Elephas maximus indicus: one gene and its partner. The protein of the gene in region 2 interacts with the protein of the main gene of each other region in a pairwise test. Links are inferred from orthologs where the notes say so. Each region holds a gene or a part of one and is shown on either strand. Other genes may lie near its edges. The genes, in order: SEC23IP and SSC5D.

Region 1 (15,172 bases), on a different chromosome or scaffold from region 2:
GTTATTCCACTACCTGAATAGACATAAATTTCTTTCTAGAGTACGGACAAGAAACTGGAGTACGGATGTTAACTCTACAGACAAGAAGGGGTGTTGTCAGGGCTCTCACCTACAAAGCACTTATTGTGCAAGTGAATACGTGGTATTTGCATTCCCAAGGCAAAGTGGGTCAACCACTAATTGCCAACCCTAAAATCACACAATACCACAGGTGGACATTAGTCGTTACAGAATGTCAAATACCTAGAAATGTCACCTGGGGGTTCTCTTCATTTCTCTTTCCCCGACTTAATCGTCACCATGGGTATCATCAATACTGAAGTATTTATTGTCTGTTCCAATCCCAAGTTATAAAACATGTATTTTTCCTTCTTGGCAGCCTGAAAAGTCCACCTCACTTTTAGGAGCGCTTAGTTTGTTTTAACTTTCACCCTCCTCCTCCTCCTCATCTTGTCCTTCTCATGACTCATTCCCTCTTATCTGCTGGTGGCATGCGGTCCACCAGCAGGCTGGACTCAAGCCCAGCACACAGGTACTCTATGGTTCCTGCCCTTGAAGACCAGCCAGGGGATGTCTGCTTTCAAGCTCCCAGCTCCTGCTTGACTCTGCTGAAGGAGGCCACTAGGAAGGAAGATTCTGGCTTGTGCTGCTAGGTTGCTCCCATTATATCTCACACACATCAAGTGAACTAAGATCCGCCACTATTCAAAATGTTCCTCTCTGTTGTTCCTTTGGAACGGAAATATCTCTTCCTGCACAAGCTTGTATCAGTCAGTCTTCCACTTCCAGTGCATACCCTCTCTGTTCAGTCACTAGAACCTCGTTTGGGCTCATCTGTGGTTCTTAGTTCGTCCCCCAACCATTACAAGCGTAGGAAAAAAACCTCTGTGACATCTTTCATCCTATACAGAAAGATCAACCTGATCCAAGACACTTTTTTTTCTGACTGGCATCAATTACAAATGAAATACTGGTCTCAACATACCATTAGCCTCACATCAGGGGCACTTTCTAATTATACACCAACACATACCACATCTAACCACAACTTTAATCAGCACCTGTATGCTCTGAGACACTCCCAACTCTATCCCCGACCTAAACTGTTCTCATGTGCTCCAAATCCTACTTTCCACCTACTTCCTCAGCATTCCTGACAGACTCAGCCACATATGCCTCAAACTTAGCAAGCCTAAAACTGAATTTAGCATCCTAACTGCCCCCACCCCATCTGCTCCTTTTACCACATCTCCCTACCTCAATGGACGTTTGCCGATATGCACCCAGACACTCAAAGCAGGAATCTCCAGTCTCTCAGATCTCCTCCCTCACTCTCACACCCTTCATTTAGTCACTCAGATACTCATTCAGGAAACACTTATATGTGCCAAGCATGGCGCTAGGTACTGAGGCTTAGACGGAGCAAGGCAGAAGGGGCTGCTGTGCTTAGAGAGCTGACAGTCTGGCCTCTACTGACTCATTAAGCCCCAACAATTTTATAGTCTAAAATCTCTCACACCTGCTCCCTGTTCCTCAGACCCAATGAGGCTGACTTGGGGCCAAGTGCTGTCTGCTCCTGCCTGACTCCACAACAGCCTCCAGACTCCAGACCAATCTTGCCACAATCAGCCTTACTCCAGTTGACCTTATTCTCGTGCAACCCATTCTCCAGTCTCTCTGAAACAAACCGTGAGTATCACTGCGTTGTTTCAAATCCTTCGAAGGCTCCTCCACACGTACAAGATGAACTACAGACTCCTCAGTATTACCATACTACCAGTGAGGCCTTAGTGATTCAGTCCCCATCTGCCACATGAGCTTCCCCTTGCAAGAGCCACGCCCCTAAACAAACTCCAGTCACATGGATGTACTTGGAGAGGGAGAGGAAAAGGAAAGAGGAGGGGGAACGTATCTGTGTGTCACCCATCCCTGTCCATACCATCCACCACCAACTCCCAAATCCGCAGACTTTTACAAACACTGTCTCCTAGGCTCCCTAATTTCTATGCATCCTTCAGCACTCAGCTCAAGCATCAGTTCCTCAGCAGGTTCTGAAGGCCTAAGGAAGTCCTCACCCCGCTGGCCAGCCTGAGACCACAGCTTTCACAGCAGTCTTTCAACTCCCGTGTAGCTGCTATCAACTGCCCCGTGACTGCCGACACAGCGGGGTATGTCTGTACACCCGTACACCGCGCGGCCCCTGAGGGCAGGGCTGTCTGCTCTGCTTTGTCTCCCTAGCATCTATCACAGGGCCCAGCAGATGGAAGCTGCTCGATCCATGTGTGCTGAACGAAGGAAATTGCTTCCTATGCGTCTCTTTCAATGATAGGATTAACTGTTGCTTCCAGTGAGACAGGGTCTTCTTTTGTCTCTGGAAGTTTCCTGAATGGCTTTCTAACTATGAAACCCCTTTTTTTAGAGATGGAAAAATACCTGTTGCAGAATTTTCATTCTAAAATCTTGTAATTTCCTCACAAAAATACAAGCTCTGTTTCTAAGAAACAAGAGTTTTAAAGCCAGTTATGGCAGTTATCCACATAGCTGACAATGAAAATGTTTAGCATTAGTAGAAAGCAACACACACGAATATGATATAGCAAGGAAAAGGGGTATGAAACAAGACAACGTTTGTGAAGCAGAAGGATGATGTGAAACCCCAGGTATGATCTTCCTTCTTCCTGCAACCTCCCATGGCATTCTGCTCCAGCCAGACTGGTCCTTCGCCGGAAAGGCAGTGCCTGAAGGCAGACACGATGCCAAAGCACAACATACGTATTTCTGACTCCTGTCTTTCCATTTGTTCAACAAATATCTATTGACTAACTGGTCCACGGTTAGCACGCCAGGTACTATTCTAGGCACTGGGGAAGGAAGAGTGAATAAAACGAAGTCCCTGCTCTCATGAAGCTTACATTCTAGTGGGATAAAACAAACAAATCAATGCAAATGTCAGGTGACAATAGGCACCAAGAAGAAACAACACAAGAGAAGTGGACCTTTCATGTATGAAGGGGAACCCTGATGCCCCAGTCTGCTTCTCCTCACTTCTCTAGGAAACTTTCCCTAGTCCTTCAAGCAAAAATAAATTATTTACTGGTACATTCAGCATTTACTGAGGATCTATGTGCTGGGCACTAAACAAAATACTAGAAATAAAAAGGTAATTAAGTCAAAGCTGCAAGCTTTAAGAAGTCCACAGTTGAAATGGGAAGGTAGACAAGTTTATCTTACAAACACTATGTAACACTATGAGCCAGGTAAGACATTGCTTTACAGAAATAATTTCTCATTACAGCCCTGTGAGTCTGCACATATATGGAAACTGAAAGCACAGAGAGGTAAAATAACATGCCTGGGGTCACATAGCAAGTTACTGGCAAGGCCAGGACTAGAATCCAGAAATTCTGTGCTCCTACACACTATGCACTGGTTATGCCAAATAATCGTTAAAAAAAGCCATCACCTTAAACTCATTGCTCTCGAGTCCATCCTGACTCATAGTGACCCTCTAGGACAGGGTATGCATGCGAAAGCTGGACAATGAATAAGAAGACTGAAGAACTGATGCCTTTGAATTATGATGTTGACGAGGAATACTGAACATACCACGGACTGTCAGAAGAACAAACAAGCCTGTCTTGGAAGAAATACATCCAGAGTGCTCCCCGGAAGTGAGGATGGGGAGACTTCATCTCACGTACTTTGGACATGTTACCAGGAGGGACCAGTCCTTGGAGAAGGACATCATGTTTGGTAAAACAGAAGGTCAGCAAAAGAGAGGAAGACCCTCAATGAAATGGACACAGTGGCTGCAACAATGGGCTCAAACATAACAATGATTATGAGGATGGCACAGGACCGAGCAGTGTTTCATTGTTGTACACAGAGTTGCTGTGAGTCAGAACCAACTTGATGGCACCTAGCAACAACTGGACAGAGCACAACTGTCCCAAAGGGTTTCCAAGGCTGTAAATCTTTACAAAAGCAGACTGCAACCTCTTTCTCCTACGGAGTGGCTGGTGGGTTCGAACCACCAACCTTTCAGTTAACAGTTGAGCGCTTAACCACTGTACCACCAAAGCTCCTTGCAATCTCTATAGACGATAATAAAGATATGAACAAAGAGGAACAGGAACACATAGGAGTGAGGGCCTAAGCGAACAACAAAAAGTTTCTTAGCAGAATATATTGTCTTGGAAGATGAAGAATGCATTCTGTATTTCTACTTTGCAGATATTACATGTCTGTGCCTCTCTTCTAGGAGCCCCGATGGCACGGTAATTAAGCGTTCAAATGTTAAACCAAAAAGGTGGGAGTTAAAATCCACCAGCTGCTCTGTGGGAGAAAGATATTGCAGTCTACTTCTTGAAACCTCGTGGGACAGTTCTACTCTGCCCTGTAGGGTCACTATGAGTTGGAATTGACAGCAATGGGTTTGGTTTTGGGTTTGGTCTGTCTCTCTTCTAGATCGTGGGCTCCCGGGGGAGGGGCACTGTTTATCTGCATCCCCTGGCAGCATCTCGCACACTGTAGGTATTTGCAGTGCGATGGATGGCTTTTATATGGTCTTCCTCACCACGGTCTCATAACTTTCACCAAAAGACTGGGTGGGACTATGAAAATTAGTGCTTGCGGCCCACCAACGGGATTGGACAGCTTGCTAATAATGTAAATAAGATGCATGGCATCCTTGTGGGGGTGGGACCATGCAAATAAGGTGTATGGAATCCTAACTAGGGTATTGGTCCGTTTTGCCATCCCACTAGGCTTAAAAGAGAGCCTTTCCCAGAGCAGAGAGGGTACCTTACTACCACGAAGAGGCCGGAGCAGAGCGCGCCCTTTGAACCTAGGATCCCTGCACTGAGATGTTCTCAGACCCAGGAGACAGAGACAGAGAGCTGTAGCACCGAATGGCAAGACTGTGAGAACCAGCAGCACAGAAACAGTGGCAGCAGGAGCAGCAGAACCAGGAGACTGGCAGGAGGTTTGCGGGCTCATCCCACTGAGCAAGGGAGCTGACTGCCTCAGGGCAGGAGGCTTCGTGGCAGAGTAGGGTGCTTCCGGGCACTTATCAACAGAGCTAAAAGAGCTTTGTAAGACTTGCCTGAGCACAGCAGAGGCCAAGGGGCCGAGAGGGGCATGCCTGTGGGTACGGCTGAGCAGAGGCTGTCCTGATAGAATTGTACCCTGAGCATTCCTGAACCTAAATTGCAACCTGTTAACCAAAACCCCTTGATTTCGACTTATTGCGACCCGGTAAGACAGAGTAGAACTGTCCCATAGGGTTTCTAAGTAGAGGCTGGTGGATTTGAACTACCAAGCTCTTGACCACTGCGCCATGCCATTTTTACCGTATTCAAAAAAGATCTGTGGAATGCGAACTCTGGACAAGTCGGAAACGAGAGAGGGTTCCTTCCTCGTCACTCCACGCCCTCCTTCCTTCCCCTCCACCACACACACACACTCGTCCCAGGGGATCCTCCCCTCCCTTTACTACCTCCTGGCAAGAGCAAGGAAGCCGGGGAAGCTGCAGCTTGGGTGACTGGGATGAAGGGCACGTTGAAGCTGAACTCCGTAGCTGAGGAGGAGAAGAGTAAGTTGGTGCCCGACGAGGAGGTGGAGGAGCCACCACCGCCACCGTTAGGTTTCCTTTCTGCCATGGTTGCGGCCCACCGTCCGTTACACGTCGCCGTGTAGCCGGTGCCCACCGCCAACCGGAAACCAGTCACACTCGGGGCCGACTCACTTCCGCACTTGCGCACGGGCGCCGGAAATCCCGGCGGCTGGTCAGCGGCCCTCCTCCTTCACCTAGCGGGCGCCGCCAGAGATCAACATGGCGGCGTGGCCTTCACGCCCGAATCTTGCACGTGACACGCTGCACGACTGCCGAAGCAGGGTGGAGCTGTAGGGCCAGGGCCGGGGCCAGGGCCGGGGCCAGTGCAGGAGCGTGGGAGAGTGAGCCTTGCCCGTACTGAATCAGTGCACGAACTGGAAGTCACGGATTGCCAGGGACGCGCTGGGCTTCCTGTACTAACGGGAGTGTTCAACTGGCAAAGGTTTTGAAGAAAGGGCGGAATGCCGCGGGTGGCAGATTGCTGCCAGCCCTCTGATGGCAGAGGAAGAGGGAGGATTGTTGGCAATTCGCAACAAACTACGAGCCAAACTCACCCACTCTTGCACCCACATGTACCTCGCCCAGGAATAGAAACTGTAAAGCTTTAGAAGTTTTTAAGCCGTAAAACCAAACCCACTGCCGTGGAGTCGATTCCAACTCAGCGACCCTGTAGGACAGAGTAAAACTGCCCCATAGAGTTTCCAAGGAGCGCCTGTCGGATTCAAACTGCCGACCTTTTAGTTAGCAGCCATAGCCCTTAACCACTACACCAGCACGGTTTCCTTTTAAGCCATAGGGAGAGAAAAATTGTTTAAAAGAGAAACCAGGTGGTTGAAATTTAGGGGGAGGGTGTGACTTTTTAAATAGCTTTGTGTATAAATTTTTTTGTATATAAATCTACACAGTAGTTTGGATAATTCAATCCAAAGTGGATTGTGAATAACTTGGATCTAATTGTTATCTTTCATATATTTAGAGATTAACCCATTGCCGTTGAGTCGGCTGCGACTCACAGCGACCCTATAGGACAGAGTAGATAGAACTATTAATAACAGATAAGCAGTCTTTCAGCTTCTTGGAATATGGGGGGAAGAAGCTCAAAAGAGACCCCCAAGAGAAACCTTGAAATAATGAGACTTTCCTGGCTCTGGCCCCAACCCCCCCCCCAAGCTGTTTGCATCTATATAGAACCTAACTTTATTCATTAATTCTGTAACTAGCATGCTTTTTTGGGGGGTGGGGAGCAATGTGCTAAACACACAGGATACAATGATGTGTAAGAGCGAGACACTTCCTTCCTGGAGCTTACAGTCTAGTTGGGAAGACAGACAACTAAGCATGTATAAACAAATGTGTGGTGAGTGTTATACTGTAGAATTTCCCAAAGTGTGTTACATGAAATACATCATGAGGGGAGGGAGGTATAACCCTTCCATAGGGTGAAGTAGCAAATATTCTGAACAATCAGACCATCAACAAAGAACCTACCTAGTCTGGGATGACATGAAAGCCTTTCCTGAAGAGGAAAAATTGAAATTGAGACCTCAAAGATAAAGAGTTGAAGTTAACTGGAAAAACTTAGCGGGGTGGGGTTATAGGAAGAGGTAAGAGACCATTTCAGATAAAGGAACAGTATGCAGGGTTGTTCTGAGACACCATATTTGGATTTCAAGAGAAACAGAGGTATAGTAACGGCTGGAGACAAATAAGCTTTTGAGAAAAAGTTGGGAGATATGGATGAAAAGTAGACAAGGGCCGGATGGTGCAGGGTCTTATAGGTTAAGAGCAATAGGGAACCAATAAAGGATTTAAGGGAGGGTAGAGAAATAATCGCAGGAGGAAGGTATGGCAGTCTGCATCTGCAAAGATTACAGCCTTGGAAACCTTATGGGGCAGGCAGTTCTACTCTATTGTATAGGGTCTCTATGAGTCAGAATCAACTCGATGGCAATGGGTTTGGGTTTCTTTTTTAAAGAGGAAATAATATTTGTTCTGTAGAAAGTTCATGCTGACTTCAGTGTGATAAAATGGTTAAGAAAAGAGCAAGCCTATACGTAGGAAGAGCAGTTGGCCAGCTGTTGCAGTGGACCAAGTGAGCAATGATGATAGTTCAAATTGGAGTGCTTGCAGTAGGAATAAAAAAACAGGAGTAACTTCTGGGGAAAGATGTCAGATTGAACAGATGAATCTTCATTGCTTCCTCTTGACACCATGCTGAAAGCACAAATATGGATTTCTTTTTTAAAAGCATAAACCCATAAGGATGAGGAGAATGGGAGAGGATTAGATAGCAACAAGATTTTGGAAGCCACAAAAAAGATAGACACGTTGTAGATAATTTAGCAAACCAGAAGTGGGGTAAGTCCAAAGGCAACTTGATCTGCACCATACCGAAAAAAAAAAAAACAAAACATTGCTGTTGAGTCAATTTCCACTCATAGCCATCTACACCATAGGCTTATGACCTGATGGCATCAGGCCCTTCTAGAAGTAGCAATGAATCTGCAGAGAGATTTTCAATACTTAGGAGAATTGGTTGAAAGTCTGTTTAAGAAGGAATCGGGTCCTCTCCTCAACTCTGTGTAACTGGACTACTGACTATCCACCTCCTTGGAATAATACTAGGCTTTTTTTTTCTTCCTTCTGGAGAGGGTAAAACAGATGTAAGATTAACTAAGTATGTACTTACTGAATAATGGAACAATTTCTTCCCCAATCCTCAGCCTGATTTCCCCATTTGGCTCCAAGAACACTAGCAGCTAGGTCTTCAAACTCTGGGCAGGAGATTGGAAGACACTTCCCTGTAGAATGGGAACAAAAGACCTAGAGATATTGAAATCAGGTTTTCCCAATAAGAATGGCTCAGCCAAATGACTCCATAATTAAGTTCATAATAAACAAGCCCTGCTTATACGCTCTGAGTTCCCGTCATTTTAGTCTTCATAGACTTCAAATATGAGCAACCAAGGATTACCACATAGCTGAGAAAGGCCTTTAAGATGAAAGACCAAAGCAAGACAAAAGGAACAGGAAATGGCAAGTTAGAAGAGATAGAACCCACGCAGGAAGAACAAAAATTAATTTTTTTTAAAAAAACTATCGATAGTATCCTCAGAGGAATAAAAATTTACAACCAAGAAACATGATCAGTGTGCTATTAAACCAAAAAAAAAAAAATTCAGGGAACAATAATATTCAGGGAACAAAAAAGAAAGAGTTAAGTATCAGTAGAAGAGTTAGGAGACAAATATAGGGAAATTTTCCAAAAAGATGGAAAACCAAACCAAACCCGTTGCCATTGAGTCAATTCCAACTCATCGTGACCCTATAGGACAGAGCAGAACTGCCTCATAGAGTCTCTGAGGAGCACTGGTGGATTTGAACTGCCGACCTTTTGGTGAGCAGCTGTAGCTCTTAACCACTACGCCACCAGAGTTTCCGAAAGATAAAAACTAGAAGAGAGAAAAATAATAGAAAAACTAGAGTACCAGGCAAAGAAATACAATATCTGGATAATAAGAGTCCTCCTAAGAATAAAGAACAGAAAAAATGTAAGGAAAAACAAAAAACAATTTTTTAATTCCCAGAAATGAAGGACATGAGTTATCGGATTGAGAGGTGTGAGTACCCAGCACAATGGCTATAGACAGGCCTTTGTGGCAGGGGCTGAAGCTTGCCAACAACCACACGAATGAGCTTGGAATCAGACCCCGTTTGCCCCAATAGAGTCTTCAGAAGAGATCACAGTCCTTGCAGATAGTTTGAACGCATTCTTATGCAAGACCTTGAGCCAGAGGTACACAGATAAGCTGTGCCTAGATTCCCAACCCACAGAAACCTTGAGATAATAAATGTTTGTGATTTTGGGGTAGTTCATTAAGCAGCAATAACTGAAACATACTTACTATAAACCTGTTGCTGTTGAGTCAGTTCCAACTCACAGCAACTCTCTAGGACAGAGTAGAACTGTCCCCATAGGGTGTCCGAGGCTGTGGTCTTCACAGAAGCAGATAGCCACAACTCTCTCCCACAGAGCCTCTAATGGGTTCACACCACCAGGCTTTTGGTTAGCAGCCGAGCACTTAACCACCATGCCACCAGGGTTCCTTACAGTTACTATAGTTCTGGCCCGTATTTATTGACCACAGTTGTATATGTGTAAACTACCATATTGCATAACGTTCAGAGATACCATAGAATTTTACAAGACATAGAAAAAAAATAAATAACCACCTAGTGTTCTGAATATTTCTAATTTGTGTACTGAAAGTAAGAAAATAATATTAAATCAATGAACTAAGAGCACATCTTATATTGTCCTTATTATGGCAACACCAGTCTCATTCTAGAATACATGTCTATCTCCAAAGAGCTCTATAATTACTGTAATTTTCTAATATGAGAATAGTTGGGAAGAATTGCTCTATCTCTGCCAGAGTGATGTTTTTATAATGTAAATCAAATCACATCATTCTCCTGCTCAAAATTCTTCAATGGTTTTCCATCGCACTTATAAAAGCTAAAGCTCTTCGCGTAACTCTTAAGACCTTCATGGTCTGGCCCCTACCTACCTCTCCTGCTTCATGTATATCATTCTACCCCTAACTCATCAACATGCCAGGTTTTCGTAATCTTCACACCTGGAGTACTTTTCCTCAAATGTCCAAATGCCCATGGTCTCCACTCCTGGCACATTATCTTCCATCTTCCAGTCGGCTCCTATGGCTTCATGGGGAGTTCCTTATGATCAGTTGACTTACAGATGGTTCTGCGTGATATGCAGACACCACTGGAAGGTGGACAGCGGCCACACTACAGTTCCTTTCTGGGACCTCCCTGAAGGACAGGGCGAAGGGAGATCCTCCCAATGGGCAGAACGTCAAGCAGTGCACCTGGTTGTTCACTTTGCTTGGAAGAAGAAATGGCTAGATGTGCAATTGTATACTGATTCATGGGTTGTGGCCAATGGTTTGGCTGGATGGTCAGAGACTTGGAAGGAACATGTTTGGAAAATTGGTGACAAGGATGTATGGGGAAGAAGTATGTGGATGGACCTCTCTGAATGGGACAAAGAAGATATTTGTGTCTCATGTGAATGCTTACCAAAGGGTGACCTCAGCAGAGAAGAATTTTAACAATCAAGTGGATAGGATGACATGTTCTGTGGAAACCAGTCATCCTATTCCCAAGCCACTCCCATCATTGCCCAATGGGCTCATGAACTAAGTGGCTGTGGTGGCAGGGATGGAGGTTATGAATGGACTCAGCAACATGGATTTCCACTCACCAAGGCTGACTTGGCTACAGGTGAATGCCCAACCTTTTAGCAGCAGAGACCAACACTGAGTCCCCAATATGGCACTACTCCTCAAGGTGATCAGCCAGCAACCTAGTGGTAGGTTGATTACCTTGGATTGCTTCCATCAGGGAAAGGGCAACGTTCTGTTCTTACTAGAATACACACTTACTCTGGATATTGATTTGCCTTCCCTGAGTGTAATGTTTCTGCCAAAACTATCATCCATGAACTTACAGGATGCGTTATCCACCATCATGGTATCCTATACAGCATCACCTCGGATCAAGGTGCTCACTTCACAGCAACTGAAGTGAGGCAATGGGCCCATGCTCATGGAATTCACTGATCTTACCATGTTTCCCCAACATCCTGAAGTAGCTGGCTTGATAGAATGATGGGATGGCCTTCTCAAGATACAATTACAGTGCCAGCTAGGTGGCAATACCTTGTAGGGTTGGGGCAATGTTTTCCAGGAGGCTGTATATGCTCTAAACCAGCCTCCAATATATGGTGCCCTTTCTCCAATAGCCAGGATTCATGGGTCCAGGAATCAAGGGGTGGAAATGGGAGTGGCACCACTCACTATTACCCCTAGGGGCCCACTTGTAAAACTTTTGCTTCCTGTCCCTATGATCCTATGCTCTGCAGGACTAGAGGTCTTAGTTCCAAAGGGAGGACTGCTCCCACCAGGAGACATAACACTGATTCCATTGAACTGGAAGCTAAGAATACCACCCAGCTACTTTGGGTTCCTTATGCCTCTGGATCAACAGGCAAAGAAGGGAGATACATATTGGCTGATGTGATGGAGCCCAATTACCAAGAAGAAATCAAATTAATAATACATAATGGAGGTAAAGAAGAATACGTCTGGAATTCAGGAGATCCTTTAGGGCTTCTCTTAGTACTACCAAGCCCTGCGATTAAAGTCAATGGAAAACTACAGTAACCCAATTCTAACATCACTACTAATGGCCCAAACCCTTCAGAAATGAAGGTTTGGGTCACTCCACCAGACAAAGAACCACACCCAGCTTAGGTGCTTGCTAAGGGTAAAGGGAATACGGAATGGGAATGGGTGGTGGAAGAAGGTAGTTCTAAATAGCAGCTATGACCACGTGATCAGTTGCAGAACCAAGGACTGTGATTGTTATGAGCATTTCTGCCTTGTATGTGTGCATCAAATATGTTTATTTTCTTCACTTATAAAATGCAGGATGCAAACACGGCTAGTGAGTTTTTGGTTATACTGTGTTAGTTGTATCATGTTAGGTGTAAGTATGACACTATAATTGTCTTTATTTAGAGATTGTACAGGTGCCAAGTTGTGTACAGGTGCCAAGCTGGCAAGGGGTGGACTGTGATGATTAAGGTTGTATGTCAACTTGGCTGGGCCATGATTCTCAATGGTTTGGCAGTTATGATGTAGTTTGGCAGCTATGTAATGATGTAATCACCTCCATGAGAACTGATATAATGTGATCACCTCCATGATGAGATCTGCTGTGAACAGCCAATCAGTTTAAAGGGAGTTTCCTTGGGGGTGTGCCTTGCATCCAATATATATGGGCTTTCTGCAATGCTTGTGGGCTTTTGCTTGCTCTGAATCCTCCATCTGGCTTCTGGTTCTTGGAACTTGAGCTAGCAGCTTACCTGCCGATCTTGTGCTCATCAGCCCCTGCAGTTACGTGAATCAGGAGAAGCCTCTGGCCTGACCCACGAACTTGGGACTTTCCAGTCTCTATAACCACGTGAGCCATTTTCTTGATACAAATCTCTCTATATATACATACATATGTATATTATATATGTATAACAAAACCAAACCTGTAGCCATTGAGTCAATTCCAACTCATAGCAACCCTATAGGACAGAGTAGAACTGCCCCATAGCGTTTCCAACGAGCAGCTGGTGGATTTGAACTGCCGATCTTTTGGTTAGTGGCCGAACGCCTAACCACAGTGCCACCAGGGCCTATACGTATATATATATATATATGAACCCTAGTGGCCCACTGGTTAAGAGTTTGGCTGCTAACCAAAAGGTCAGCTAACCAAACTCTATGAGGCAGTTCTACCCTGTCCTATAGGAATGCTATGAGTCACAGCTGACTCGACGGCAGCTAGTTAGATAGACAGATAGATGATAGATTGATAGATAGATATGCTTCACTGATATCTTAATTATCTAGTGTTGCTATAATAGAAATATCACAAGTGGATGGCTTTAAAAAGAGAAATTTATTCTCTCACAGTCTATGAGGGTAGAGGTCCAAATTCAGGGTTACAGCTCCTGGGGAAGAATTTCTCTCTCTGTTGGCTCCGGGGGAAAATCCTTGTCATTAACCTTCCCCAGTTGAGGAGCTTCTCTGTGGAGGGACCCCAGGTCCAAAGAACACTCTTGTCTCTTGTTTCTTGGTAGTATGTGGTCCCCAGTCTCTCTGCTTGCTTCTCACTTTTATATCTCAAAAGAGGTTGGCTTAAGACACAATCTAATCTCATAGATAGAGTCCTGCCTCATTAACATAACTGCTGCTATTCCCACCTCATTAACATCGTAGTGGTAGGATTTACAACACATAGTGAAATCACATCAGATGATAAAACGGTGGACAATCACACAATACTGGGAATCATGGCCTAGTCATGTTGACACACATTTTGGGGGGACACAATTCAATCCATAACAAATGGTTTTGCTGCTCTGGAGAACCCAGCCTAAGACAGATGGTATCTCCTTTTTTTACCCCAGTACCTCCAATGCCCTCAGTAATTACTTATGGATGAAAACCGAATGAGCTCATTGCCAGGAGAGAGTAGAACTGCCCCACAGGGTTTCCAGGGAGCAGTTGGTGGATTCAAACTGCTGACGTTTTGAACGCTTAACCATAGCGCCACCAGGGCTCTTACTTACAGATAAAAATCAAAAACCAAATCCATTGCTGTCAATTCTGACTCATAGCGACCCAACAGGACAGAGTAGAACTGCCCCACAGGGTTTTTAAGGAGCACCTGGTGTATTCGAACTGCCAACATTTTGGTTAACCACTGTTCCACTTAACCACTGCCACCAGGGTTTCCTACTTATAGATGGCATGGCCTAATATCCTCGCAACATCCCTAGGTGGCTCAAATGGCTAAGCATTCAACTACTAGCCAAAAGGTTGATGATTCAAACCCACCCAGCGGCGTCTCAGAAGGCAGGCCTGGCGATCTGCTTGTAAGATGTCACAGCCTTGAACACCCTATGGAGCTCAGTTCTACTCTGCACACATGGGGTTGCCATGAGTCGCCATCAACCCAACAGCAACTAACAACAACACAGTGTCCTTTTTAAAAATAATAAACCCTTCAGGTGAGATGAAAGTGTTGTTGCCGGTGGTGGGATTTAAAAAAAAAAAATCTTGACATAGAGATGTATTCTGTAGACCTTCCTGTAGCCTTTTACATTTTTCCAAATCCTTATTATTAGTATCAAAATGTCTCATCACAAAAAATCTAGAGGGTGAACTTATTCGCATTACAAAATAATTACATTTTGGAAGGATCACAAAACCAGTTGCCATCTAGTCAACCCCAACTTGTGACAACCCCATTTGTGTCAGAGTAGAACTGTGCTCCACAGGGTTTGCAACGGCTGGTTTTTTCACAAGTAGGTAGCCAGGCCTTTCTTCCCAGGCACCTCTGGGTAAACTGTTACCTCCATCCTTTGTGGTTAGCAGTGGAGCATGTTAACCATGTATACCACCCAGGGAGAGATTCCTCAGAAAGATCACAGTGTCCTTTTAAATCAAATCTGAGCAGTTGTTTTATTGCAAGTCATTAAATCCTCCACAGATGGAAAAACCAAAAGCTGAAGTGTTTCTAGCCACTGCTTAATTGGTATCAAGCAGCATTTTAAACAAAGCAAATCTAAAATTATAATAATTCAAAAGCAGGCAGTTTCATGTCAGACATTTTTGCATATTACAGCCACAACTTGGCAGCCCTTTTTGCTAATGAATGAATGAATGATAGCGCCCTGGTTAGGTCTCCATGGATCTGAAACTCAATTTTTTCTGTTCACTCAAACTCCCAAGAGCCAGATGCACAATCCAGTGTGCCAGTTAATTAGTTCATAATGAGAAATACAGACTGCTAAGAAGGAATTGAAATCTGGGTTCAGTTCCTGTCCTTCAGCTCCCCACTTTCTAGGCTCCTTTCAAATCATCTGCCTTCTGTTAACACACCCTTTCTTCAGTGGAGTAGAAGGATCCGATA
Region 2 (15,212 bases):
CGAAGGGGGGAGGGAGGGAGGGAGGGAGGAAGAGGGTTTTTTATTGATCAATCAGTAGATAAGAACTGCTTTGGGTGAAGGGAAAGACAACACTCAATACATGGAAGCCCAATTGGACTGGACCAAAAGCAGAGAAGTTTCCGGGATAAAATGAATGCTTCAAAGGTCAGCGGAGCAAGGGCGGGGGTCTGGGGAACATGGTTTGAGGGGACTTCTAAGTCAATTGGCAAAACAATTCTATTATGAAAACATTCTGCATCCCACTTTGAAATGTGGTGTCTGGGGTCTTAAATGCTAACAAGCGGCCACCTAAGATGCATCAATTGGTCTCAACCCACCTGGAGCAAAGGAAAATGAAGAACACCAAGGTCACACGACAACTAGGAGCCCAAGAGACAGAAAGGGCCACATGAACCAGAGACCTACATCATCCTGAGACCAGAAGAACTAGTTGGTGCCCGGCCACAATCGATGACTGCCCTGACAGGGAGGACAACAGAGAACCCCTGAGGGAGCAGGAAATCAGTGGGATGCAGACCCCAAATTCTCATAAAAAGACCATACTTAACGGTCTGACTGCGACTAGAGGAATCCAGGCGGCCATGCTCCCCAGACCCTCTGTTGGCACAGGACAGGAACCATCCCCGAAGACAACTCGTCAGACATGAAAGGGACTGGGCAGCGGGGGGGAGAGAGATGCTGATGAAGAGTGAGCTAATTATATCAGGTGGACACTGGGGAGTGTGTTGGCAGCTCTTGACTGGAGGGGGGATGGGAGGATAGAGAGAGAGGGAAGACAGCAAAAATGGCACGAAAGGAGAGACTGAAAGGGCTGACTCAATAGGGGGAGAGCAAGTGGGAGATGGGAGTAAGATGTATGTAAACTTACATGTGACAGACTGATTGGAATTGTAAATGTTCACTTGAAGCTTAATAAAAGTTAATTAAAAAAAGAAAGTGTCTCTTGTTGTTGTTGCCTTAGAGTCCATCCAACTCATGGTGTTGCCAAATATCCCCTGTTGTTGTTGTTAGGTGCCATGGAGTTGGCTCCAGCTCATAGCGACCCTATCCATAACAACGAAAGGTTGCACGGTCCTGCACCATTCTCATAATCATTGCTATGTTTGAGCCCATTCTTGCAGCCATCTCATTGAGGGTCTTCCTCTTTTTTGATGACCTTTTACTTTACCAAGCAGGATTTCCTTCTCCTGGGATTGGTCCCTCCTAATAACATGTCCAAGGTAAGTGAGATAAAGTGTTGCCATCCTCACTTTTAAGGAGCTGTCCTTCCTCTAAGACAGATTTATTTGTTAGAAAAACATGGGTGGAAGGGATGGAGGGTGGGCAAAATCTCCCCCTGTTGAGACCACTGGTCTAGATTTTAACTACTTCTTGGTTTTAGGGTATATTTCCATTGGGTCATCCTTAGGTAAGAGTTGGGTTATTGGGGAGTATGGAATCTATCTCTACCTCAAACACATGGAGGACAAAATTGCCCCCAGTTCAGAACCACTGCTCTAAAACAGAATTTCAAATTCTCATGAACTCCAGACTTTTTAGAGCCATGGAAGCTAGATGAACCCCCAAAACTATTGCCATGAGATAATCTTTAAACCTTACACCAAAAATATCCCCTGAAGTCTTCTTTAAACCAAACAATAGTTTAGCTTAACTAGTATAGAATGTCTGCCTTGAGCATTATGCTCTTTTAAGAACTATCTATAAGGGATCAAATTGACAACTGTGACCAGAAAGATTAGATAGGAACCTTAGGGAGCAGTGACTTTACTTATGTTAATGGAGGAACAACTCAGAAAAGGAGGGTGAGAATGGCTGTACAACTCAAAGAGTGTGATCAGTGTCACTGAATTGTACATGTAGAAAACTGTTGAATTTGGTGTATGTTTTGTTGTGTATAGTCTCTACAAAAAAAAAAAGAAAGAAAGAAACAGTACTCTAGAGAAAAGAACAGAATTAAAGGGCAATTGCAATGGAGTTCCAAAGTGCTGGGTCGGGTCCCCAGGGGGCTACAAGCAAACAGGAAGCACTTGCATAAGTCAATTACATAAGTCAGTTGATGCTCAAGGGGAAGAGGAAGGGAAAGAGGAAAACTGACATTGGAATGAATACCTACTGTGTACTTGGCAGACATACCTGCATTTGAGTTTCAGCTCAGCCCATTCCCTCGAGCATAAATGAAAAACAGAAATATCTCCCTTACAGGGTTGTCATGAGAATTAAATAAGATGTTGGTAAAGCACCAAGCGTCATCAAAGACTTCAGTGAGGTTTGATTCTCCCTGACCATTTAACCCTCTCCTCTCTGAAGCCTTGACTTGTTAGTTGCCATCGACTCTGCTCTGATTCACGGCAACCTTATGTACAACAGAACGAAATGTTGTCTGGTCCTGCCCCATCTTCATGATCAATGGTATGTTTGAGTCCATGGTTGTGCCTATTGTGCCAGTCCATCTCATTGACATTGCAGCTACAAACCAAGGAATGTCTGTAGGTACCAGAAGCTGGGAGAGAGTCATGGAGCAGTTTCTCCCCCAAGGCCTCAGAACGAATCAACACTGCTGATACCCTGATCTCGAACTCCCACCCTCCAGAACTGTGAAATGATAGATTTCTGTTCTTTAGAGCCACCCACTTTGCAGTATTTTGTTACAGCAGCCCTAGGAGACTAATGGCCCAGCCAAGGGGCAGAGGGCAGGCAGGACTCCTCCAAACTCAGCCCATGATGTGAGGCAGATACTCTTGGCCCCATTACACAGTTGGGAAAAATGAAGCTCGGAAAGTTGGTCCTTCACCAAGACCACTGGGCAGGGCTGAGAGTAGCGCCCACACTTCAAACCCTTGCTCCTTTCATTTCCTCAAGAGGAGGATGAGGAGGGAGGGAGTTGGAGAGCAGGTGAGGAGCTCTTGGCCCCAGGGGTCACCTGAACAGGTGAGGGGTCCCTGGCATAAGGAGGAGGAACAGAGCTGAGACCCGAGCAAACCTTTGCAGCCTCCTGGAGAGGGAAAGAGGGTTGGGGACTGGGGGTGTCCTCAAGGATCCCCACCCTGACATACCAGTGCAGACCAGCCCTGCGTCCTCGCTGTGGTCACAGTTGCTCCGACCCCAGGGGCTGCGAGGACAGTCACGGAGGGCCTGCTCTCCGCCTCCACACCCCACATCGTCCATCCACACGGGCCCCGAGCCTGGGCCAAATCGGGCACCTCCAGGGGCAGCCAGCGCCCCCCCACAGCCCAGCTCCCGGCAGGCCACAGCAGCGTCTCTCAGGTCCCAGCCGTCGTCACACACTGTCCCCCAGCGTCCCGCATGCCACACCTCCAGCCTGCCCACACAGCTGTGGGTACCTGAGACCAGCCGCAACCGCAACCGTTCTAGGGGATGGAGGAGTGGGTGGGAAAGGGACAGTAAGGGACAGGGGAGACTGCAGGGGACCTGAGGGGATGAGAAGGGAGTGAGGAGGCAGTGAGGAGCCTGGGGGGACAATGAAGGGTCTGAGGGGACAGGTAAGGGCCTGGGGGATAGGGAGGGGTGTGGGGGGACAGAAAGGGGTCTGGGGAGATGGTGAGGGGTCTGGAGGAATGGGGAGGGACCTGGGGGGACAGGGTGGGGCCTGTGGGAACGGGGAGGGGCCTGGGGGGCAGGGAGGGGTCTAGAGGGATAGTGAGGGACTCAGAAGGACTGTGAGGGGCCTAGGAGGACAATAAGGACCTGGGGGTTTTGTCTGACCACAGTTTGGGATAAGCACATTCAACCCCCTCATTTCTTATCTGGGGAGACTGAGGCCCAGAGAGGGCAGTGGCTTGTCCAGTGACAGAATCAGGTCCTGCATGAGACCTGCCCATTAAGGAGAGAGCCAGGAATGGGGGTGGTACCTGGGTGCCAAAAGTCAGACACTTAGGTCACTTAAATGAATGGGCAGGTGGTGGGGAGAGGGAGAGACAGGGCTGGGCCTCCTGAATCCCCAAGGGGTGTCGGAAGCTGGGCCTAGGGCATCCAGTTTGGGGGACCTGCAAGGACTTACCTTGGCGGGCAGCCCCGGTGGTCAGCACAGGAGCCCTGGTGGACTTGGCCTGCTTGGGTGGCCGGGGGCTCTTCTTCCGGGAGCCACCACTGTTCTGGGAGCTTCCTACCAGGCGGGGGACTAAGGGAGAAGACAGCCATGAGGTCAGGAGCTCAAACTTCTGTCCACCTGGGGGACTGGGCTATACCTTCTCAGCCTCCAAATATAGCTGGGGCACAAGGAGGACTTCCCAGAGCTGGGAGGAGACCATCCACAGTGAGGCCAGGAGAGCATGGGGCGGGGCTAGTTGGTGAGCCCTGGGACTCACCAGAAGTCGTGGGGGGCACCTCAGGCCCTGGACTGAACTCCCTGGACAGCCCCAGCCACAGATCCCCACCCACAAGAGGGGCCGATTCCCTGGAATTTGCTGCCACACGCTGGCCTATGGAGAGAACAGAAACTGTGAGGGGGAGGGGACAGTAAAGAGGGCACAGCGTCCCTGAGAGAGCAGCAGGGGCTGGGATGCCCATTACCTTGTCCTCCAGGGCTCCAAAGCTACCACTTGTAAAGTGGGGGTCCCTGAGGGAGATAGTGGCTTTTGAGGGGATTAGAGATTGGAGATCTGGACTCCTGGACCCTCAGTTACTGGGGCTGAGGACTTGGGTCCCTGGGTCATCTCTGAAGGAGCTGGAGAACAGGCTGCCCCAAACAAGGACCAGGGACCCCTCACCTGCACAGATGACCCCTGAGCCAGGGACCCCTCACATGCACCGATGACACCTGGGCCCAGGGACCCCTCACCTGCACAGATGACACCTGGGCCCAGGGACCCCTCACCTGCAGATGACACCTGGGCCAGGGACCCTTCACTTGGCAGAAGTCAGCTGGGGCCAGGTACTCATCACCTGGCAGATAACCCCTGGGCCAGGGACTCCTCACCTGGCAGATGACATTTAGAGCCAAGGAGCCCTCCTCACCTGCACAGACAACGCCTGCGTCCTCCTCATGAGAGCAGATGTGGGCCTTCCAGCCACGGTGGGGGCACAAGCCCAGCCGCCCCTCGCTGCCCCGGCAGGCCAGCTCACTGAGCCACACTGGCCCGGCGCCCTCCCCAAAGAAGGCACCTCCAGGGGCAGCCAGCGCACCCCCGCAGCCCAGCTCCCGGCAGGCCACAGCAGCGTCCCGCAGGTCCCAGCCGTCGTCACACACTGTCCCCCAGCGCCCTGCATGCCACACCTCCAGCCGGCCAGCGCACTCATGGGGGCCGTCAGCCAGGTGCAGCCGCTCTGGGGACGGAGGGGAGGCTCTGACCCCGGGGAGAGACACTCCCAAGGCCCTGGGGCAGGATGAGGGTAGGGGATGCAGGGGACAATTGGGAAGCCAGCTGGTCACTGGGGGACCCAGACAACTGGGCACTCAGGAGAGAGGTGGGAAGAGGTTGGACACCTGGGTCCCCAGGGGGAGTGGTTCCCCGGAGGGCCAGTCAAGAGGTCACGTGGAGATGGGGGTGGCCAGGGCTTTGGTGGAGGATGAAGTGAAGCCGATAGGGCAGGCTGGAAGCTCGGCAAGACTAGATGGCAGAAGAGTTTGGGGACTTACCAACAGCCTGGATCCCCATTAGAGCGGCTGCAAGGGGTTTGACGGGTGGGAAAGAGTGAGGGGCAGGCCCCACCCAAGAGGGGTCCTTTCTGCATAGCGGGACCTTTGTTGGGAATATCCCAATACGCGTGCGCACGTGTATACACACACACACACACACACAAGCACACGCGCACACCCGCACGCGCGTGCGCTCGGAGTCCTCATATCTCAGACCTGGAACCCCACTGCAGAGGGCTGGAATCAGAGTCAGGTCCTGGCGCCTGAAATCAGGGCTAGAGACCAGGTCCTTTGTGTTCCCCTAGGGGGTTGGCTGAAGGTCACATGGCTGAGTGGTCCCCACCCCAGGGTCAGGGCCAAGGGGAGGGGCCAGGTCCCTTGGGTCCCCAGGAGGGAGAGACTGGGCATCCCGAAGAAGGATGGATCCTCAAGGGACTGGGGTCCTGGAAGTCTGAGTCCCTGAACTTGATGATGAAGGGGTCAGAGGGCAAGGACGCAGGACCCCTGAGTCCCTTAGGAGGACGGGTCACTCACCGAGGAGGCAGGCCAGGACCCTCATGTTTGCAGAGGCCGGGGCAGGGACAGGGTGAAAGGGGAAGGGGGGGAAGGAGGAGGAGGCAGCCACAGGAGGGAAGTGCCTTGGAGGCGCCCTGGACCCAGGGAGGAGCAGGCAGGGGCTGGACGCTCTTCCAGAAGGAAGAGAGAGGCTGCGAGGAGGCGGCAGGGGACAGCGGGGGGCAGGGAGGGAGCTGGCCAGCGGCTGGGGTGTGGAGAGAAGGGGGGTGGCTGGCGGGCTGGCGGGCGGGCGGGCGGGAGGGAGGGAGGGTGTCCAAGCTGCAAACACCCACACGGGAACCAACCAGGCTTTAAACCAGTAATGACCTGGGCTTAGAGACCTGGGGTGGCAGGCTGCAGGCAGGGCCAGCATGGAGGTGGATGTAGGGGCCTGGCAGAGATGGGGAGCCCCCTCCTGCCTCCTCTCTTGTCCAGCCTGGGAAGATGGTCAGACCACAGTGGAGGGGATGGAGGTTGAGCCAGGTACATCTGGGGCTGGGTGCAGCTAGCAGGCTTGCAGCCAGACACCAGGAAGGACTTCCTAGATTAGGAAAGGAGACTGAGCAAGTTCCCTCCTCCCTGGCCCCTACTCCTGGTAGGTTTGAATGCAAAATCCCTATTCCTGCATCTGTGGGGAGGGTTGGTTGCATATAGATGACTCTAATGAGTAAGAAATGGGAAGTGGAGGGGTATGGGGAGACCTCAGTTTTGGCCAAGGTTTGGGTGGGGGGAGTGAGAACTCCACACACTCACACACATATACGCTCTCTCTCTTTCTCTGCACCAGGCAGCTGTGAGGTGGAAAAAATTCGGTAATGGGGCTCGTGAGTCAGAAGGGCTGGCAGGGACTGAGCCGCTGTGAGCTCATTGCCTCCCCTTCTCCCGGTGCAGCCTCCACCCTCCCCCCCAACCAACAATTCATGTCGACTTGGGGAAGGAGGAGCCAGACAGAAGGGGGGCTCTGAAGACAGACTGGAAAAGGCATCAGAGACAGAGTAGGGCACACAGCAGTTTTGGGCTTTATTAACAAATGAGTGTAAAAAACCAGATGGGTCTGAAGGGAAGGCTGGAGGGGATGCTGCCCGCCCACTGCTCTCAGTTCTCAGCTTCCCAGACAGTCCAGCCCTGGCAGCCCTGCACCTCCCCCCACCACCCCAGTCCCCACCAGGCTCCCCGAGATGCAGACAGCCCTTCCCTGCAAAGGCTCTGCTCAACCCCACCAACCTTCCCCACCCACTCTGCAGCCCTGTCCCCTCCAATCACAGGCCTCAAACCCCAACGCATGCTCAGGAAACCCCCATTGAAGCATGCCCCTGCTGCTAAGCCTCACTCTTAGGGGGCATACTTGCTCATTCTCCCCTCCCAATCTCTCTTCCAGGCCTGTAGCACAGATGGGAGGGGGGGAGATTTCTCAGTGCAGGCTGGATCTGAGGCAGAGGGTTGGACAGGCTGAGCTTTGTTGGCTCCCAAGAGAGAGCCAAGAGTGGAAAGGAGGGATTCCACTCTCAGAAGTTCACACACTACCAAAGTCCAAACACTACCCACATTGGGCAGTGGACAGAGTGGAGTGAACCTTCCTGGCACACAGTAGATGCTCACTAAATGCTGGTTTCCCACCCAGACCCAGCTCTCCTTGGGCAGGTGAGTCACAGTTCTTTGCTGAACTCCCGCACTAGCATGTAGCCCATGCAGCCCCAGCCCCCCTCAGCCTGGTACCCACAGCCCTCCAACATCCCTGCCACCCCCCAGGCGGCCACAGCCACCGGGACCACAAGACGGGCCCGAGGCTCACCCATGCCCCCTGCCCAGGCACGGGCCCGGGCCTCGGCAAAGGCCAGCAGCCTCCTGCCCACGCCCCGGCGGCGGTGCCAGCGGGAAACAGAGAGGCGGGTTACCCGGGCCCCGTCCCCTGCATTTGTGCCAGGTGCCAGGGCCAGGACGCCGCACACATCGCCCGAGCCACGTACAGCCACCCAGGGGCCCCCCAGACCACCCGGTGGGGGCAGCGAGCCCCACCTGGCCCTCAGGCCCAGCTTCACAGTGGCCACAGCCAGGAATACAGGCAGGAGGAGGGCCAGTGCAAAGGAGGCCAGCACAAAGCGCAGGCCACTGCTGGCTGCTGCCAGGAGGAGCAGGGCTGGGGGCCGGGTCAGGGCGTGCAGAGCCACGCGGTTTTCCGTGTCCTTCACGCCAGCCTGAGGGTAGGAGGGGGGCAGTCAGGAGCAGAGCCTTCTCTGTCCATCACGCCACAGCCTTTATGCACACCAGGGACTAGGAGAGGGGAGCCAGTCCTACCTGGGGCAAAGAGCTTGAAAATGAGGGGGTCTGTGGGAGAGAGACAGGCAGGGGCAGGGACCTCATGTGTTGCAGTCACCAGTGAACAGAGTCTGACATGCTGGGTGTTGAGTAAGTAAATGAGCATAGACTGAGTTAGTGAATGAAAAAGCAAATGAATGAATGAGTGCACAAATGAATCAGTGAATGTCTGAATGAGTAAATGTGTGAATGCATGAATGGATGTGTGATGAATGAATGAGTGAGTAAGTGAATGAATGTATGAATGAGTGTGAATGAAGAGTAAGTGGATTAGGGGTGAAGGAGTGAATTGATGCATGAATAAATGAGTGGGAGAATGAATGGCTTGTGAATAAATGAGGGAACGAATGCATGAATGAGTGGGTGAATGAATGAATGAGTTCATAAATGAATGGATGAATGAATGCGTGAGTGAGCAGACGAGTGAAGGAGTTTGTGAATGAATGAATGAGCAAATGAATGAATACATGAGTTAGGAGCCATGGTGGCACCCACTCAGCCAGGGGGCCAGACTGAGGCCCTGGGAAATGACCCTGAAAGGCAGACTGGATTCTGGGAGGGGACCATATGCCAGGTAGAGAGGACACACAACTGTCCCAGGCTGCAGTAGGGGGATGCGCAGGAAGGCTGGGAAGGTCCTGAGTGCCTGCCTGGCTGGGGTACGAGGCTGTGCTTTGACCAGACCCAATGCGTTCTGGGTGGCACGTAGGGCCATAGACTCTAAGGCTGAGAGGAAGCTGCACCGCAGTCTGGCCCCACATCGTCCTGGTTCTGGGGTGGCTGGGCCTTGGGTGTGGTGGAGAAGGCACTGGAGAGAGAAGGGGCCCAGCTACGAAGTAACCGAGGAGGAAAAGAACCCCCTCCTCCAGGGGTCCCAGGGCCTCAGGCTGCAGGGCGAGGGGTGGCGGGACCCTCTTCCACGCCGGCCCGGGCGCACAGGGACCACTCGCGGCTTCTCACCTTCAGCATCTCCAGCACCAGGGGCTTCTCGTCCTCCCTCATCTCCCTCACCGATAGGTGGCCGGGGGCCATGGCTGCCCCCGGGCCCGAGCCCCGCGCCCCTGAGGGAGCAGGCGTGCACCTGAGGAACACAAGACAGTCAGCGGAAGCGGGCGCCCCTCTCCACTCTCTGTTCACCCCAAAGCCTCCGCCCCCTCCAAGGACAGGGATCGTTTCATTAGTGACCCAGGTCCGGCCCGAAGCTCCACGACTTAGAGTCCAGGCCCCCGAGTGAGCCACACGGCAGGTCAAGCTCCCCATCTACCTTGTGACCCTTCTGAAGTTCCAGTGATCCCGGCCCCACCCCCGTGGTACTCAGCGATCTGCCCCTAAATGCCCTGTGAACATCCACACCTCGCACCCCGGGGCGCCCTCCCGGGTGCCAGGGCCGCCCTGGGGGACCCAGCCAGGAACTGGACCACTGCCTCTCGGACAGCACCTAGCAGCGCCCCTGCCGCGGCGCAGGAGCGAGCACCTGCCAAGCTCCTCTGCAGGGCAGATGAGATCCCTTGACAGCCCTGGGCGGGGGAACAGGGTCGGAAAGGGGTCGCCGGCGGAAGTGACGTAAACTCTTGCAGCTGGGGGGGGTGCAGCGGGCGGTGCCTGACTCGGCCTTAGCAACGGTTGCCAAGTGTCCGGAAGGGCAGAGCGCTGGACTCCCGGGGGTTGAGGGACAGCGTCAGGAAGCGGTGATCCTGCCGGGGGGTGGCCTCTCTGGTCCCCGGAGAAGGAGCAATCGGGAGACGGCCCTGGACACTGGCCCTGGCCGGCCGGGTCCGCGAGATCAGATGCCGTGGGGGCGGGGAGCTCTACTTACCAGGCCCGCGGAGGGTGAACGCACGCTCACTTCGAGACGTCCCCTAGTTGCTAGGCAACGTGAGCGCCGTGTGCGTGTGTGTTGCTAGTGAATCGATTCTCTTTGGCACGCGGGCCTTCGCAGGAGGGGCCAGGGTCGCAGTCAGCATCCAGGCCGCGGGGGCCGACCCTTCCCATGCCCAAGGGCCTCAGCCTGGGCGTCTGGCCTCGCGGTCCCTTAGGGGTGAGAATTCCCACCCACTCGTTTTTCAGATGAGGGGAGGGCGGGGCGACTTACAAGTGGCTTAACCAGGGTTCTGACTCCAACCTTCCCCCTATAGTTACCAATGCGTCCCTTTTCTCAGGACAGGGAAACTGAACCCACATAGAAGTAACTGGCCCCAAAGCGCAAAGCCAGTCATCTGCAGACCCGGAGAGTCGGAGCTCGCAGGCTGCCGCCTTGACCTTGACATTGCCCCTTTCTCCTCTCTTGCCTCAATCGCCCCCCAAAGAAAAAAAAGGGAAAGAGATTCTCGATCTTTATTAGCAAACTCAGGCTGCAGCCCCTCCCTCTCCGGAGCCCAGCCAAGACGGACAGAGCCGGGGTCTCGCTCTGAAGCAGGAAGAAGTACCAGTCAGTGTCCTCAAAATGTGTGCACCAGCTGGACCGCGGGCAGGGTCTGCACGATCTGGATGGAGGGCACGCCTTGCTGGACCCCGGCCCCGGCGGGGACCACCTGGACCATCTGGGGGGTGGGCGCCGCGGGGATGCCTGCTGGGGCGGGCGCAGGCCCAGGCGGAGGTGGGGCCAGGAGCTGCAGCGTGGTGCCACCGCCCCCGACGCCGCTGTTCTCCAGCAGCTCAGTGGCTGGGGCGCTGCGGATGATGAGGAGTTTCTGTCCGGTTGGGCCCGGGGCAGGTGGCTCCGCTAGGCCGGCAGGGAGGGTCTCTACCTCCTGCACGCACAGGCGGGTCTGCTCGCCATCCGCCCCGCTCAGCACCAGGACGCTCTGCAGCCCTTCGTCCGTCTGCAGCGTCTCAAAGTGGACATCCTGGACTACGCCGGCGCTGGCCTCGCCGTCACCCGCCTCCCCCTGGCCGGGGTCTGTGAGCAGCTCCTCCGCTGCCCCACTCTGAACCACCAGCAGGTTGGGGGCCTCCGTAGTCACGGCGCCCCCACCGGGACTGGTGAGCTGGCCCGCCACGGGCTGGAGCTGGACCGTGGTCACTTCCTGGGCCGGCTGGAGCTGGACCGTGGTCACTTCCTGGGCCGGCTGCAGCTGGACCGTGGTCACTTCCTGGGCCGGCTGCAGCTGGACCGTGGTCACTTCCTGGGCCGGCTGCAGCTGGACCGTGGTCACTTCCTGGGCCGGTTGCAGCTGCACTGTGGTCACTTCCTGGGCTGGCCGGAGGGGCTGGAGCTGGACCCCGCTCACTTCCTGCGCCCCTGCATCCCCACCCCCCACATTCTGCAGAACTATGAGGCTCTGCCCTCCCCCATTGGCCCCAGGGCTGGCTCCTCCCTGCACCCCCAGCCCCCCAGGGCTCGGCAGCCAGACCACACCAGCCCCCTGCCCGGGTTTCCCCACAGCACGTTGGCCCTGCCTAGCCCGGCCCCCGCACCCACTAGCACTGGGAGGAGGCAGCAAGATGAGCTTGGGAGGCGCAGGTGGGGGCGGAGGGGTGGAGGGCTGGACGCTGCTGGGGATCAGCTGGAGGCCCTGGGCTGTCTGCACCAGGAGGAACGTCTGGGAGTTGGGTGCAGCGGGACCCAGGGGCGGGGTCTGGGCCGTGCCCCCTGCTACCTCGAGGGAGAGTGTGGCCTGCAGGTGTGGGAGGACGTGAACGTCTTGGGTGGCGGGTGGGGCAGCAGCCAGCGGGGCTGGGGGCTGGGGACCGGTGGGGCTGGGGCTGGGGGCTGGGTTGGCAGGGGTGTGCGTCCTCAGGTGGCGCTGCAGGTAGGCGGCCATGACAAAGCCACGGCCGCAAACAGAGCAGGTGAAGGGGCGCTCGGCAGAGTGCGTGCGCTGGTGCAGCAGCAGATTGGAGGAGTGCGTGAAGGTCTTGGGGCAGAGTGCGCAGCGGAACGGCCGCTCGCCTGTGTGCACGCGCTGGTGCTGCCGCAGGTTGGAGGTCTGCGCAAAGCTCTTGCCGCACACACTGCAGGCGTGGGGCCGCTCACCCGTGTGCACATGGCGGTGGCGCCGCAGGCATGACGTGTTGCGAAAGGCCTTGCCACACTCGCCGCATGCGTAGGGCCGCTCACCCGAGTGCAGCCGCAGGTGGTACTGGTAGTGGGAGGACCATTTGAAGGTGAGACCGCACTGGCCGCAGGTGAAGGCACGCAGGCCTGTGTGCACTCGCTGGTGGATGGCCAGCAGGGACGAACGCTTGAAGGCCTTGCCGCACTCACCGCACTGGTAGGGCCGCTCACCCGTGTGGTCCCGCAGGTGGTAGCGCAGGCCCGATGAGCCCTTGAAGGCCTTGCCACACTCGGCGCACTTGTAGGGCCGCTCGGCCGGAGCCGCAGTGGGCGGTGGCGGCGGCTCCTGTGGGCAGGTGACCTCGGCCGCCTCGGCCTGGGGGGGCGGGCGCCCAGCTGCCGCCTCCTCCACGTGGCACTGCTGGTGTGCCAGGAGGCTGGCTAGTTGTGGGAAGGCCCCGTCGCAGCTGCCACAGCGAAACGCCTGCCCACTGGCTGTGCTGTGGCTGTGCTGGTGGCGCGAGAGGCCTGCCACAGTCCGGAAGGACTTGCCGCAGGGCAGGCAGGCGAAGCCGGGGGCTGTGGCTGGTGCCGAGACAGGCAGGGGCGAGGGTGGGGACAGCGCCGGAGGTGGGTCTGGCTTGGAGGCAGTAGAAGCGGCGGGTGTGTCCGAGGGTGGGGGCGGGGGTGCCACCTCAGGCCCCGGGCATGGCTGGTGCTCCAGCAGCAGCTCCTCGCTGCCGAAGCCCAGCTCACAACCGTCACAGCGGAAAACGAGCTCCACTGTGGTCTCGGCGGCAGCCAGGAAGAGCTCGGGGACCACGGGCGGGGGTGGGGGCGCCGGCGCTGGCGCGGGTGCAGGTGGGGGCACAGGCGGGCCGTGGGACTGCAGATGCCGCTGCAGGTAAGCCTCAGAAACGAAGACCTTGCCGCAGGGCTCACAGCGGTGCTGGGGGGTGGCGGGGGCCGAAGTGGCAGTCCCTGGGGCAGGCGTGGTCGCAGGGGCGGCGGCACCATGGGTGCGCTGGTGCAGCAGCAGATTGGAGGAGTGCGTAAAGGTCTTGGGGCAGAGTGCGCAGCGGAAGGGCCGCTCGCCCGTGTGCACACGTTGGTGCTGCCGCAGGTTGGTGCTCTGCGTGAAGCTCTTGCCGCACACGCCGCAGGTGTATGGCCGCTCTCCCGTGTGCACGTGCCGGTGGCGCCGCAGGCTGGACGAATTCTTGAAGGCCTTGGGACAGTCCAGGCACAGGTAGGGCCGCTCGCCAGTGTGCTGGCGAAGGTGGTACTGGTAGTGGGAAGACCACTTGAAGGCCAGGCCACACTGGCCGCAGGTGAAGGCGCGCAAGCCTGTGTGCACGCTACGGTGGATCTGCAGCAGCGAGGAACGCTTGAAGGCCTTGGGGCAGTCAGGGCACTGGTAGGGTCGCTCGCCCGTGTGTCCACGCTGGTGGTAGAGCAGGGCCGATGAGCCCTTGAAGGCCTTGGGGCAGTCGGGGCACTTGTAGGGCCGCTCGCCCGTGTGCGTGCGCTGGTGGTGCAGAAGTCGAGATGACCAGCGAAAGGCCTTGCCGCACTCGCCGCACTCATACTGCGCCGCTGGGGCTGGAGCAGCAGGTCCCGGCTTCTCGCCGGCGCCCTCCGAGGTGGAGGCAGGTGCCATGTCCACGTGCGAGCCGACCATCACACCTGGCAGAGATGTGCCAGTCAGAGGGGATGCTGGCCCTTTAAGAGTCAGGGGCCCTCCCCAGCCCACCCTCCGGGGCGTCTCCCTTCAGGTTAGTGCTGCCAAGCATCCAGGTAGTGTACAAGGGAAAAAGCCTGGGACAAATAGGGACGCATGGGGTCACCCACCCTAGGACGTCAGCATCTCCTCCAGGGCTCTGGGGTGATCTTTAGGAGGCCAAACATTCCGTTTACGATTCTGCTCATTCCCCCTAAAAGGTAAGGTGTGTCCATGCAAAAAGTGGAAAGTTCCTGGGTGGAGCAAAGTTCAGGCTTGGCTACTTAACCTAAAGGTTGGCAGTTGGAACCTACTCAGTGGCACTGCAGAAAAATGGCCTGGCAATCTGCTTCCACAAAGATTACAGCCAAGAAAATCCTATGGAGCACTTGTACTCTGTAGCACGTGGGGTCACCAACCACAAAGTATTTGGGTTTTGTTTGTCTGCAGAAGGTGAAGGGGGTATTTTTCCATTACCTTGTTTTCCTTTCCTTGGCCCCCTCCCTCCTCTAAAGATCTTGTCCTCCATGACTACACCCTAAACCTTTTTTCACTACAGCTGAAACCCTTCCTGGTCTTTACCTCACCCATCCTACTCTCCAACACTGTCCATCTTTCTAGCTCACTCCTGCTGCTGCCCCAACTCCACAAGTCCCAAGACCCCACCAGGATTTACAATCAGCAGACCCTGCCAGCTGTGCACCCTCCACCCCTACCCACATCCCCACAAAACCAAAACCAAGCCTAGTGCCATCGAGCCGATTCTGACTCATAACGATGCTATAGGACAGAGTAGAACTGCCCCATAGAGTTTCCAAGGAGCGCCTGGCAGATTCGAACTGCTGACCCTTTGGTTAGCAGCCGTAGCACTTAACCACTACGCCACCAGGGTTTCCCCACATCCCCACGTTCCTCTTAGTACCCGATCATGTCGCGTCAATTCTGACTCACGGTGACCCCACATGTTATCAATAGTAGAATTCCTCCACAGGGTTTTTCTGGAGCCC

Evidence for each region.
Region 1: the proteins of SSC5D (region 2) and SEC23IP interact in binary tests that used the Homo sapiens proteins (3 or more experiments, as listed by UniProt). The two-hybrid records come from large-scale screens. The link is inferred for Elephas maximus indicus from reciprocal best matches to the Homo sapiens genes SSC5D and SEC23IP.

What each region holds. Positions count from the first base shown.
Region 1 is NC_064834.1:70,431,873-70,447,044, reverse strand, and holds the start of SEC23IP (SEC23-interacting protein), read right to left. Parts: upstream 5,737-15,172; 5' UTR 5,661-5,736; coding exon 5,498-5,660; intron 1-5,497. UniProt on the Homo sapiens protein: Plays a role in the organization of endoplasmic reticulum exit sites. Specifically binds to phosphatidylinositol 3-phosphate (PI(3)P), phosphatidylinositol 4-phosphate (PI(4)P) and phosphatidylinositol 5-phosphate (PI(5)P).
Region 2 is NC_064829.1:91,524,471-91,539,682, forward strand, and holds the start of SSC5D (soluble scavenger receptor cysteine-rich domain-containing protein SSC5D), read right to left. Parts: upstream 6,293-15,212; 5' UTR 6,177-6,292; coding exon 6,152-6,176; intron 5,645-6,151; coding exon 5,618-5,644; intron 5,305-5,617; coding exon 4,996-5,304; intron 4,461-4,995; coding exon 4,347-4,460; intron 4,160-4,346; coding exon 4,040-4,159; intron 3,390-4,039; coding exon 3,075-3,389; intron 1-3,074. Other genes in the region: NAT14 (probable N-acetyltransferase 14), read right to left, coding at 7,819-8,367, 9,449-9,520; ZNF628 (zinc finger protein 628), read right to left, coding at 10,927-14,166.